2 linked regions of the Coturnix japonica genome follow. The protein of the gene in region 2 interacts with the protein of the main gene of each other region in a biochemical or structural test. Links are inferred from orthologs where the notes say so. Each region holds a gene or a part of one and is shown on either strand. Other genes may lie near its edges.

What was found. The genes of interacting proteins can lie anywhere in the genome.
Region 1: the proteins of TOPBP1 (region 2) and ATRIP form a complex in vitro, tested with the Homo sapiens proteins (2 studies listed by BioGRID). The link is inferred for Coturnix japonica from reciprocal best matches to the Homo sapiens genes TOPBP1 and ATRIP.

Annotation. Positions count from the first base shown.
Region 1 is NC_029527.1:2,066,442-2,072,528, forward strand, and holds the start of ATRIP (ATR-interacting protein), read right to left. Parts: upstream 4,677-6,087; 5' UTR 4,274-4,676; coding exon 3,668-4,273; intron 2,945-3,667; coding exon 2,774-2,944; intron 2,635-2,773; coding exon 2,519-2,634; intron 2,187-2,518; coding exon 2,023-2,186; intron 1,069-2,022; coding exon 973-1,068; intron 466-972; coding exon 300-465; intron 1-299. Other genes in the region: protein BTG1-like, read left to right, coding at 4,784-4,901, 4,993-5,342. UniProt on the Homo sapiens protein: Required for checkpoint signaling after DNA damage. Required for ATR expression, possibly by stabilizing the protein.
Region 2 is NC_029517.1:39,235,763-39,243,549, forward strand, and holds the start of TOPBP1 (DNA topoisomerase 2-binding protein 1), read right to left. Parts: upstream 4,953-7,787; 5' UTR 4,914-4,952; intron 4,893-4,913; exon of another isoform or gene 4,508-4,892; 5' UTR 4,501-4,507; coding exon 4,420-4,500; intron 3,934-4,419; coding exon 3,799-3,933; intron 3,473-3,798; coding exon 3,329-3,472; intron 2,561-3,328; coding exon 2,379-2,560; intron 2,236-2,378; coding exon 2,042-2,235; intron 1,178-2,041; coding exon 998-1,177; intron 43-997; coding exon 1-42. UniProt on the Homo sapiens protein: Scaffold protein that acts as a key protein-protein adapter in DNA replication and DNA repair. Composed of multiple BRCT domains, which specifically recognize and bind phosphorylated proteins, bringing proteins together into functional combinations.

The DNA.
Region 1 (6,087 bases), on a different chromosome or scaffold from region 2:
ACAAATATATCCTTAAAAAGGGCAGCAGTTCATAGTCACTTCTAAGTTTTCCTAATTTCTGTGCCTTCCCCTAATACGTAATTAACCTGCTTTCCATTTTAGTGTTTCTCCTGTGTTCAGTACCTACAATAACCAAAGATGGATGACCAAAATGCAGAAGGATGTTCCGAGTTTTGCCTCAAATGGCCTCAGCCAAAAGGCACTGAACACACGCAGTGAGGTGTCCTGCACAGAACGCCTTTCTCAGAGTATGCCACAATACTGGGAACACATCAGTTGCATTTCAACACAGTCCTTACGTCTCCACAAGGTCGGGCTGCAGCACAGCTCCTGGCAGAGCCTCAGCGTTGCTGCTGAGAAGATGGCAAAGTCCCAGCAGGGACCCAGAGACAAGGGGCTGCTTCAGCAGGGCGCTCAGTAAGGCAGAACCTGGAGAGATTGTCTTTGAAGTGGCTTTTCCATCCCCTGCAACAACAGCAAAGTATTTCAATAGATTTACCTCACCAATAGTGATCTCAACCTCAAAAATCATTTTTTCCCCATCATCAATTTTCCTTTCTCTTACGAGACAGAATACAGGAAGAAAATAATATCTGAAATGCATCGCTTCGTAAAACCTCACAGAACACAATTTAAATGTGAATCAAGGTATATTTAGAGAGATCTCAACTACAGTCCCTTTATAAGCAAGCCATCTCAATCCAAGTGATTATTAAAACACAGTCATCCTGGTGCCTTGACATCCATGTTCCAGTCTGGACATTAAAATCATGTGATACAATTCTGAACTGGAAATAACGTGTTGAACACTAAGTGCTGATGTGCTCTTTTCACTTTTAGAAACAATAAATAGACATTTTCCCTGCTCTCCTCACAACAGACAGCACAGTATCTTAATACAGCCAAGCCTGGTAGAAAGATGCCTCTCGATCTACATCTTGATCCATTTCTGTATTACCAGAAATACATTACCTTGAATGTTTTGTTGGCGTACAGAATTGCAGGAACCATTTTTTCCCATTGCTTCTTGCTTCATGGCTAAGAACTCAGGATGGGGCATCTTACTGTCTAAAACAAAGAGAGAATATGTTTCAAATACGAGAAATAATTGCTTATACATCTGCACCTGTCATCTACACACCTTCAATTAGCCATAGCTGTTGTGAGGTACAAACACAGACGCAGTGTCAAACACTATTGAGTTGAAAAAGTAACTACAGGAACTCTTCTAAGGTTGCTGTTACACGTGGCCCAGACAGTTTCTGATAGAATACTGCAGCCGACAGAAACACCTCAGATGTTCCATTGGTTTGGGTTGGAAGACCTTTAAGATCATCTAGTTCCAACCCTCTGCTACAGGCAGGGACACCTCCTCCCAATTTCTCCCATTCTTTCCTACTGGCAATGTACTGTCTCAACACAGTAATTGGCTGCTATAAAAAGCAGTTTTTATTTCGTATTACAGTAAATGCATACATATGTTTCCCAGGCTTTACTCAATGAATTTGAAGGTACAGTTGTATGAGATTTACCGTTCAACGCAGAAAGGAGGAAACGAGTGAAGCCCTGCAGCTGCTCGTTTAACATGGCTGAACATGCACCATTTAAAATAAAATACCAAAAACAGAGAACGGTTATCAAAACCCAAACCTCAGGAGTATAAAAAACGCATTAGCTGACTGGTAGACCTATTCAAGAAATAAGCAAATTATTTCCTGTTCCTTCTTGAGTGAGAAACACAGAGAACAGTTCGGATCCTGCAGCTCATATAAATGAAAGTTTCTCACCAAAGCCAGCAGACACCTCCACCCTGCTCCCCTGGCATTCAGCTCACTGCAAAGCCATCCTCCTGCAAACCTGAGGTGGAGCTGTATGGAATGTAAGCAATGTCATACCGAAAGAACCACCCTTGTTCCTGCCCTGACCTTACTGGAACTGCTGGGTCACACTGGGCCAAAACCTGAATCTAAGGCAGAATGTTCACAAGCAGCTAAAAATACTGCAAGTTGTGTTCATGTTTACCTTCCTTGCTGGAAACTGTCTGTGCAAACCAGTTTCCTGAAGAAGAAGAAGAGGGTCTGGCAGCAGTTTCAGCATTGAAAGACTCTTTTGTAGGAAAAGACCTTTTTCCAGGCTGCGGAGGACACCCTTCTGATTTCATCTGGATTGCAACGTTCTTTTTAGGGCTACAAAAAATAAACGAAAACAACAAGATACCAACAAATTCCCCTCCAGCTCCAATGAACCAATGTCTGTTTTGGGAGCATTTTATTAAAGATCTATTTCTATTTTATTACAGATCTATTTAATAGCTTTCTTGGTACTGATGTTAAAGAGGTACTTCACTCTACATCCCCTGCATTTCTGTCCCAGCATCTGTTTAGGTCAAAAGAATGGTTTTGGTTGTATTTTCTCAAGGAAATGGACCTAAGAGTCACACAGAGACAGGAAACATCTGTCCTAATTCAAGTGTGAACAAAAAGAAACACAGGTTATTTCCCCAAACCCCCATACACACCTTTGTGGCACAACCGTCTGAGTGACGTGCTTATTTCTTTCACAGTTCTGAAGTCGCGTTCTTAATTCATTCATTTCTGCATCTTTGAACTGCAACTCTGACTGCAGTGACAGTAACTGGAAGAATTAAGGAGATGGTTTTACTGTTACAGAATAGGCAAGTGTTAATCCAACTGCAAAGCAAATGTCTGTAAGATCTCAAGGTTGCAGGCTTCTTTCTGTGTGTTGTGTTGAGGTGACTGACTGAGCTACAAACCTTTTTGGAGAACTCTCTTTCTTTTTCACCAAGGGCCTGAGATTGCTGCTGTTCCAACAGCACGTACGACCTCTTCTGCTCCTCCATCTCACGCTCCATCTGCTGCATCCAGTCACGCAGAACTTTGATTTCTCCATTTTTAGTAAGAATTTCATCCTGCATTTCTTTCAGCTGCAAAGAGATGAATTCCATTAAGCAGCACATTCAGCATTTAGTATCTGTATTGCTCTCTATGTGGTCAAAGATGGAGTGTGTTGCTACAGCTCAGTTTAGATATCCCACAGTCTGGCTTCTATTTCTTTTCCTTATTAAATCAGGCTCCGTGACATTCTCTAATAGAATTACAGTGTTTTGGTGTCTGACGGTGGGCTTTTCTGCACTGCTTCCATCCCTTTTTTGAGGGAGATGGTTTCCAGCTACAGGAGGGGGGATTTAGAATGGACATAAAGTTATTGCAGTGATGGTGGTTAGGCACTGGCACAGGTTACCCAGAGAGGTGGTGGTGCCTCATCCCTGCAGACACCCAGCGGGCTGTGAGCACCGATAGAGCTGTGATGTCCCTGCACACTGCAGAAGGTTGGAGGGCCTTAAAGTAAAGGCCTTAAAGGGCCTTTAAGGTGATGATGGTGTGGTCTAAGCGGTGCCTTTCCACAAGGCTCAGTGACCCCATCCCCTTAAATGCTCTTCTTTCAAACCATGAAGGACACAGCGCTGCTCCGGGTTTGACAGGACAGATGAAAGCCGACAGATGAGCACCCGCTGCTGGGCAATGGTGGCACCACACCCCGCAAACTCATTGTGCCGTTCCCACTCAGAGCCTTTCCCAGCGCGGATCCCGACCCTCCCGGCCCAGCACCGCGGCCGATCCCCCCTTATATTCCCATGTGCTCTGACCTTCCTCCGTGTATCGTCGTGCTGTGCCCGCAGCACCTGCAGCTGGAAGGGCGCTGTGAGCTGAGCGCTGTGCGGGGCCGGGCCCGGCGCGGTGACACCCGGACACAGCGGCTCACACAGCGCCTGGGAAGCGATGGTGTCGATCTCCTCCAGATCGTCCGCCGTGAAGTCGTCGTTGTCCCCGAAAGGATCTTCCTCCGCCCCGCTCCCCGGCGGCCCCTTGTGCCGTTTGCTGGGCGGGATCCCGTTCCGCAGCGCACTGTCCGCAGCGGGTCCCGCCGCCCGGCCCGGCCCGCACATGTCGGTACCGCTGCGCTTCCGCGGAACGAACGGCAGCTGCAACGACATGGCGGCAGCACCGCTACGCCGCGCGACGGACGGGAACCCGCGCGACGAACCGTGGCCAATCAGCGGCGAGAGCTCCTCCTGCCCGGCCAATGGCAGACCGCACCTAAGGCGGCCCCCGAGGGTCAAGCGCCGCCGCCATTGGTCGCCGCGTGACGCGCTGTGAGCAGCTCGCTGATTGGATGGGCAGGGCGGTGGGATGAGTGACGTCACACCGACGTAGTGACGCCACGCTGACGTAGTGACGTCACACCGCGCCATGCCGTGCGGCAATACTCGATATACGGAAATACTACGTCACTTGTTGCCGCTGCTCCGTGACGTTCCCCAGCTGTGAGCTCCCGTAACGCCGCACTAACATGGACGCACAGCCCTGACGGGGACAGCTCGGAGCCTGGATAGTGTTGGTGTGATTCCGGTTCCCAATAGCAGCAGCAGTCGGGCGGCCGCTCAAGGCCCCAAGCTGTCACCATGGTTACACACCCCGTCCCGTTACTCCGTGTCACCGCGCCGCTCAGCAGCAAAACAAACACGGCCCGTCTCCTGCGCCGCCCAATGGCCGCTCGCGGTGTCCCGTAAGCCCCGCCCCTCGCCCATCTCGACCAATGGGGATCCTGTTCTGCCGTCGCAGGGGGGCGCGGGGCGGGACGCGTCATTGTGACGTGTCGCTGCGCGACGCCGCCATTGGCCGGAGCGTTGTCCCGGGCGGAGCGGTGCGGTGCGGTAGCGGCGGGCCGGGCCGGAACGGCGACGAGCGGCAGCCGAGCGGCCATGAGAACCGAGATCTCGACGGCCGCGGCGTTCGTCACCCGGCTCCTGCGGGCCGCCGGCGGGATCGGTGACGAGCAGCTGCGGTGCTTCAGGGAGCGCCTGCAGGAGGCGCTGCGCGGTGAGCGGGGGGACACGGCCCGGCCCGAGCCCGCGGCGCACGGACGGGCTGTAACGCTGACACTAACGCCGCTCTTTGTTCCCTCCCGTAGAACACTACAGGCACCACTGGTTCCCCACGGCGCCCACCAAAGGCTCCGGGTATCGGTGCATTAGGATCAACCACCAGATGGACCCGCTGATCGGCAAAGCGGCGGCGACCATCGGACTGAGCCACGAGAGACTGTTCCAGCTCTTGCCCAACGAATTGACTCTTTGGGTCGACCCTTTCGAGGTGTCGTATCGGATAGGAGAGGACGGCTCCATCTGCGTCCTCTATGAGAATCCACAGCCCGGGGCCAAGGCGAGTAAACCCCTGGAGAGCAGGAACAGCTGTAAGAAGTGGAGAACTGGCCGGTCCAGCCCGTCCGAGAGTTACAACATGATGACTGTTTCTAGTTAGAAGCTGCTGTTTCTTGTACAGCTATTGTACGTATCCCAGTTGTGTGATAAACTCCATTGTAACCGAGGTCTCTCGATTGGTGTTTTTTTTAACGAGTAGTTAATGGTAGTTTCACCCTGTGGCATTCGGGTTGTATCGTACTGCCAATGCTGTGTGGCCAAGGGCTAAAGCGGGTCTTGGATCCGCGTGTTCCTCTGGACCATGTACTGTAAATGCACTGTACAGACGGCTGATTGTTTTACACATTTCTATTTTCGAGGCGATTCTGGTATTTGTAATAAAAAGCCACGTTGTAGCGACTCATGGTGGATTTGTAGTCCAGATGAACACTTTGTTTTTGAAATAAAACAACAAAACCAAACTCCATTTGCAAGCAATAACACAAAGGGGATTAACACAGAAGCCAGGAGCTGCACATCGATCTCCACTGACTTGTCTGCACAGACTTTTCTCAGGGTCATTCCAGTTTGGCTGCAGGGCACAAATCACTCAAGTATTTTTTACCTTTTTCAAGGCACGTGTTCATTTGGAGCCGCGTTTCATCACGCCCCAATGTTCTGACAGGGGTTGGGGGATTTGTCTATCTTCTTTCTAGTTGGCCGAGTAGAATAATAAAGACTTGCTCAAAGTGCTTTGGACTTTTGGTTTTCATTGTTGTCCGGTCTCTGTTTTGTGATTTTTCTCCTTTTCCTTTTGAGACGTTGCTCTCAAAGCTTCCCATGGCTCTCACTAGTCGTTACCGCAC
Region 2 (7,787 bases):
AATTTACATTGGAAATGCAGCTGACATCCGAAAGGGAATGAGCTTTAATGGAAATACAAGAAGATGCATTAGTTTTGGCTCCTCTCTTTCCATTACTTAACTGAAAAAGAAAATAGAAAGCTGTCACACCTGATTTTGTTGTGCTGAAAGAAAGCATAGCCTGCAGAACAGATAAGTAGGGCCTTGGTTAAACCAAGGGTTTTATTTACACACATATCTGAATACTGGTCTTACTAGAAACATTACTTATGTGCCTTTTGTTTATTCCCATGTGGATGCTATCTGTTAATTAACAGTCACTGAAAACAGTCAATTTTCAAAGCTTTATTTCCAGTTTGGCAGACACCTGATCTGATAGAAATAATCATTTCATAAGAGAGAGGCCTCTCTGTAGTAAAAGAGCTCACCCTGAAGCTCAATGATTTTAGAGTTACATATTTCCGTAATATCAAACTTGAATTCCCAACATACCATTAGTAGTGCTAACCCAGTGCATCATCACTCAGCCATTTCCTAAAGTAGCAGTCAACAGCAGGTATTTGAAAATAAAAGCATATTTAAAGCTGACTGTATCTTTTGTGCTACCATCTTTATTTGCAACATGTTTTCACCTTTCAGCTATTCCTACAGAATAAGCAAAGACAAATACATGAAAAACAGTATTTGTTTTCCCTCCAGGGGTATGATTTAATTCACAACAGACACTAGCCCTGTACTTTTAGGACTTAACAATACAAACCAGTGATTCTTAAGCAGATAAGTACACCTAAATTAGATTAACTATTAAACTTCTATTCATATTCAAGTCCATATTCATTGCAATACCTAACATACCTGAAAGTGATCAGTGGCAGTTTTTTGCATAAGCAAAACACAAACCAAATTTCAAAATATGATCACTACAAAAATAGAGAGCACTCTACTAATTTCAAACAGTTCCTCCTTCTTACTCTTCCAAATACCTTACCTGAAGTGCATCTTAAAAGGTCTTACTTACTGTCAAGCTTGCTGGCATTGTTGGTGGGTGTTGAGGTACTGGGTGTACAACTTAGTTTTGATCCAGTTTCTATTCTATACATTGTCTCATCTTGACAGAAGCCCTTCTCAATGCTGTCTGAAAACCACTGCACAGGCACACAGTGGACATTCCATTTTCTGGCACATTCGTACTTCTGACCTTTCAAGGGTAAATAAAATGTAAAAAATGTATGTTACTCAAAGACATTAAAATCTGAAAGCTCAAATAACTGATTTTGAGGTGCAAGTTGGACTATACAGAACTCATCTAATGAGCTGCTATTTACTTGCCTTTATTTAAAGTCAGAGTAAAATCTCCTTGACAGTGAGTTCATGGGTACTGCATCACAGGGCACCAAAACCTTATAAAGCAGTAAAGCATGAAGAAGTCCTCTGCAGATCTTTAATCAAGGGTTCCCAGCACTAACAGTGTTGCTAACAGTATGTCATCTTGACATACACTTTTGATAAATTCCTCCTACAAGAAGTAGTCAGTTTTATCTCGCTCTATCAACTGAATAAACTGTAATACAGAGCCGGTACCAGCACATTCAAAAATCAGACTTATCTGTCTCATCACAGAAATTTCATTGTACCAGCTTAAAAAATATGAAACTTCTTTCTTCATTCAAAGAAAGTACAAACCTTTCCCCCTTCCACAAGGGAAGAAAGCTTTCATCTTACAGGGAGTTCAGAAGGTATAAAGGATTGGTCAGTTAAAAAAATTTTAAAAATCATTAATTCACTATCAGATTCCAAGCAGCATATAAATGAAGTCTTATCATACTCTCCCCAAAACATAGTTTTTCTTCATTCATCCTCTCCCTCTACAATTCTCCCTTTTTCTTCTGCTCTTCTTCAAGTCTCTGTCTTCTCTTGTTCACCTTTCTTTCTTCTACCTTCAAAGCAAGGTAAGAGTGCCCCATGCCACTCCTCCCATCAACACCACTTCTCTACACAGAAGCAGCAAGAGCAACACTACTTCAAGTCAAGGAGGAAAAATAATGCATGCTGCAAGTTTTACCTTTTGGCTCTTGAACTATGAGGTGAGTACATTCATTCATCTTGAGTTGCCCTGAATAGCGCCCACCATGTTCAGCCGTGAGGCGCTGGACTTCTTTCCTGTCTGAACTACTTAAGCCAGTTACACAAATTGTACAGCCAAGAAACACAGGACAAGCATAATCTTCCATGTTGACATCAGTGTATCTCATCATGCTAAAAGAACGAAAGGGGGGAAAAAATATGCATTTTTGTCTCAGTAAAATCAATTAGAAAAAGAAAGAAGCGTGTATAACCAGAAGAGCCCAACACTAGAGCCCAACACAAACTAAGTTTTACTTTGTTTCTGTTTTCATTACCTTTGCTGAGATTTATCCCACAGTGCCTTAACCCAAGAAGGAAGCAAAATAGGTTTTTTCAGAGAAGCAGCTACTAAGTATTTCTTGCTGCCAACTTCTCCTGCTATGAGATGAGTTACTGACATATTGAGGTCTCTGTACACACGTCCACCCATCATCTGTACATATTCATGAACTTCCTCCTGAGTAGAGAAATTACAAAAAAAAATCACCAAAAGAAGAAAAGATAAATTAGGAGCTTACATCACACTCAAAAATAAATCAGTTTCAATTTTCAGTGGTTTCTTCTGAAAACTAATAAAAAATATCAATTCCATTTTATTTGCATGGATGGCAAACAAAAACATAACCTTAAGTAAAGATGATATTACCATCAGTAATAAGATTTATTGATGGCTGTTCTTTCAGGTAGCATACATAAGTTGTTGGAGTGTACCAAAAGAAAACCTTAGCATAACTCACGTAAAGCACAGCTGGCTGGATAATTAATGTTTACCATAGACTGAAAAGCCAGAAATGTAACATGTTGTCTTCAGCATGATAGCTGACCAACACATACATCCATTAGCCAATAAATAAATCCTCAAATGTTAATGACATTACAGTGTTACATATGCTTATATGATATAGGCAAATGTGCACATATAGATACATCACTACATACGTGCTTGTATATCACACATTATAAAAATGCTTCCTTTCTCTCTATACAATTCTTTACATAAATGATGACTACCCTACAAACCATACAAAGACTATGCACAGTTACACTTGCTACTTGGTGTAGGGAACCTGCTTTGGCAGGGGGGTTGGACTCAATGATCTAGAGGTCCCTTCCAACCCCTACAATTCTGTGATTCTGTGAAATACTACAACTGATGCCATAGCAATAAATGAAGCACATGCCACAGAAACACCTGCTCAACCATCCACTGTGTACAATACATTACCCGGACATCTTTATCTAAGGTGGTACAGGATATCGTTACATCAGCCATGGTCATGTTATACACGGGATGCTCAGCTCTTGGGACACATCTCTGGGACTGCATGCAGTACAGGACTACCTGTGGTCCAACAATTCTACAACCGAGCTGCAATTAAATAACATGGAAAACAAACAAAAGAAAGAGAATGAGCAGAAGGTACACTGGAGCAAGGAAGGTTTTCTTTGTCCCTGAGGAACCCTTGGTAAAAACAGTACATCCTATACATTCCACTTACTTCATGATAATCCTTACACTTTACTAGCTGTCTTCACCACTAAACACAGAGTGCAGCAAAGCTCTAAAGATTTCATTGTGAATACTGCATACTACTATACTTAATGCAAGAAGAAAAACAAAGGAGTCTGAGAACATCCATAAGAGCTTCTAGAAAAAAAAAGAGTATAGCTGGTATAAGTTGATGTGTAGCATACCTTTTTAAGATGATTGAAAGCAACACCAGTAAAAGGATCACAAATGTAAAGGGATTTATCATTTTCTTTTATATCAAGCACTGCTCCTTCTTCAAGAATGTGGAGATGTTCTTCTGACTGAAATTCTTTTATAGACTGCAGGAAAACAATGCATACAACCACATTTACTTAACTGATAAACCACAAATAGTTAATACTGTGGATGTTACACAAGCACATCTATTTGAAACAGCCCACAACAGAGCTAAGGTATCTAAAGAGCCCCCGTCACCTCCCAGCTTCACTCAGTATTTAGACTTAAACACTACATACAAACTGAACGTGTCATACAGTGCCTTCAGCTCCCCCAAACCTCTCCAGGTGGGGAAAAGCTCCATATTCTTCCTATTAAGTATTAAGGCAGATAAGCAACCACCACATGGACCTTCCGGGCCTACCTGGCATTTTGTTCAATATCAGCAAGTTTTGACAGAGTTACTTGTTCACCTTGGTCAATATAATTACTGTGGAATACTTATGTTAAGGAAATGCAGCTTTATTCTTAGATGTACACACGCAGGCTGCATCTACCACAGAGATCACCTCAGTGTTACACCCAGCAGGCCCACAGCTCGCACCTACCTCCAAAGCTTTCAAGAAATACTCCGAGCTCCCAGAAGACTTTACGAATTTCACCAAGAACAGCTCCTTGCTGCCCTTCATCCTTTAACTGAGAAGCAAACCCCGGTGAGATCCCCCACACCGAGCCCACCGGGAAGCCCCCACCAAGCGGGGGAGTCCCTACGGAGCCTCTCCTTACACTGAAGCTCAGCCACCACCCTAAACTCACAATGCAAAGCTCCCACTCTCTCGCCAACCCTAACACCGCTATGTACTCGGTGCTGCCGGTGGGACACTGCCCCAACCACGCTCCCTGACACCCCACACAGCACCCACCCCCACCACGGCAGGCGGGAAAACGCCGACTCGCACTGCGCATACGCGGAGGCCAGGGGGCGTGGAGCTGTGTGGAGAGTAATAGTTGGCAGGCGGATGCCCCCTCACGCTCCTCCTTCCCTGTCATGAGTCTCAATTGGCGTCCGCTCTTTAGTTAAGGCTTATTTTTGTTTCCGTACTGCCTGTAAGGGCGGCGACAGGAAGTATTGCTTGCGAATGGCAGCTGGAAGCGTTACCGTTTGGCCACGAGATGGCACCCGTCACCTAAGAACTGAGCAGGTTGAGGGTTTGCTCAGAAGTCGGCTTCCCGCTATGGGGGCAGATGTTAAACGTAATAAAAACTTAACTTCGTAGGATCTGAGTGAGTTAACGGACAACCTGAGAAATAGCAGTCTTCCCATCTCTAGTAATGCACAAAAACAAATGAAATCTCCATCAAAATTTAGGGGAGTAAACTCTTCAAAAGGGCTGACAATAGCAGGACACAGGGAAATGGTTGTAAGTTAAAAGAGGGAAGATTTAGGTTGGATGTTAGGGGGAAGTTCTTCACTAGGAGAGTGGTTAGGCCCTGTAACAGGCTGCCCAGGGAGGTTGTGGATGCCCCGTCCTTGGGGTGTTCAGATCCAGGTTGGACGGGGGCCTGGCAACCTGATCTAGATCAAATGGTATGTATTGTGGCCCTGCCAGGGCACGGGGGTTGGGAACTACATGATCCTTTATGAGGTTCCCTTCCCAGACTCAGGTCAGTCTGTGATCTGTGAAAATGCGTGTCTGTTGAATAGGAGGTACATTAAGGGACAGGCAGCCTCCTTCTTGGCCACTGCAGGGCACTGGTGTCCCTGCCTAATTGCTTAGGGGTTGGAACAGATTGTATGCTGAAAAGGTCCCTTACCAGCCCACAACCATTCAGTGACTCTATAAAGTGACTAACTTCTTGATAAGCTGCTGGTCTGTTAGGTCAAGATCTCTTAATTTCAGCTCTGTGCTAGGGAAACTGCTTGTCCCTTGAAAAGATCCATGTTGTAGGAGACAACGCTGCAAAGAATTGGGGCTCTTCTTGTTACATACCTCTCAGAAAACCTTGTCAGTGCACACTTGCACATTTGTTTTCTTGCTCTTTGCTCGTGCAAAGTAATTCTTCAAGGAGAAAGTTACTGCTGTTACTGCATGTAGCTTCCTGTCTCTTTAAAAAAGGAATGCAAATGTTTGTCTTTCTATACCGAAATTACCCAATTTCTGCTTATAGTGGTGGTAGTAATTGCTGCATGTGTCTTAAAAAAAAACCAACTTCTGAAAGTGTAGTATGGCTTTATGTTCCCCATGTGGAAGTAGTCCAAAAGTAGTGCTTAATGTGACAAAACCACAATAACCAGTGCCTGATAAGCAAATATTTCCCTATTTCACTTCCTGGCTTTCCAAAAGCACTTGGCCAACGTAACATTCTTTGAGACTCTTTGAACTATTTATTTGTAAAACTTATTTTAAAGACAGGCTTTCCAGAGCACCTGGGAAACAGATGTTACCCAACTGGATAAAAACAGCCATTAAAATATTCACTTTTATATTCCTATCTCCAGAGTTGTCCAAAACCAAAAGTATTAGGAAATGATATAAGAGTGCTATACAAACATGATCTAAAACAATGTGTATTGTGACAAAAGTATGAACTTAATTACCTGAGTACCCCCTTTATTTCACGCTTTCTGTGTTCAGGCTCTCTGAAAGATCTGAACTTTAAGGGAAAGCCCAGTTATAGTTGAGCATCAGCCTTGCTAAATATGGAAGAATTATGGAAGCTTTTGCTTTGAATAAAACTCCCACAAAGCAGGAAGAAAAAAAACCACAGTAATTGCCCCCAAATTATGCCTTCTTCAGAAGCAAGAGACATGCTATATGTTTTTGGCTCTGTGGATGAGTCCTTTTACTCTGTGTGTGTGTTTGTTGTGAAAAATGTCTATAGCGTATTCTTATCTTCAAAAAGATCTGGGTCAAACATTTTCACACCTTTAATGCTGTGGTGTTTTTGCAGCCATTACAGTTGCATTAGTTACACATTTTAAAGTTGTTATTTTACATAGACTAGAAAAATGGCAAACAAAATCACTGCACTAAGAAGCCCAAAGGAGCCCTATTGACAGCAGGACAGGGGAAATGGTTTTAATTTGAAAGGGAAGATTTAGGCTGGATGTGTAGGGAAGAGTTCTTGTATAAGGAGAGTAGTGAGGTCCTAGACAGGCTACCCAGAGTAGGTTGTGGATGCCTTCCGTTCCACTAAGAGGTTGTTCAATGGCCAGGTTAGATGCGGGCCGCTGGGCAGACCTGATTCTAGTAGACATCGGAAGTTTGGTGCGCCCTGCCAGGTCAGGGAGGTTGGAACTTCATTTGAGTCCTTGAGGTCCCTTCCAACCTGGGACATTATGTGATTCTGTGATTTTGTGATTATCTGCTCTTGATCTAACCTGGTTAAAGTTCTGTCTATAGTACTTTATTTTTAAAATATTCTAAACACATTGATTTTACTGATCAATGATTGACCATTGTATTGTTGTTAATACAAGTAGTATATAAAACCACAGTTTATTAAAAGAGCATTCTGAAATATCAAGCCCTTGATTAACTGAGATGGCAACACTTAGTAGCTCAGACTGTGTTAGATTATTAGAAGTAAGATCTGAAAGGCTGGTAGTCCTTTCACATACACACAGGAAAATATACCTTGAATACTGGCAGTTACTTTCAACAATTTCATAGTTTTCCCCTGACAATTGTATAAGTTTTTCATCACACAAACCTCAGTAATTACTGTTACTTACAGAGTTACACACAACCAGGCTAATAAAAGATGGGACTGAGATGGAGTTTAAATGAATGAAATATCTTGTGTAAAATACGCTGAAGAGATGTTTCCAAAGAGCGATACCATTTTCTAATCTCCAGTTCACTAAAAGATCAGTTTGTGAAATTCCGCATAGGTTAGGGACCTCTCAGCTTAGGTATGTTTGTGGTCTCCATAGCACATAACTATGCTTCTACATACACATACACACACAAAA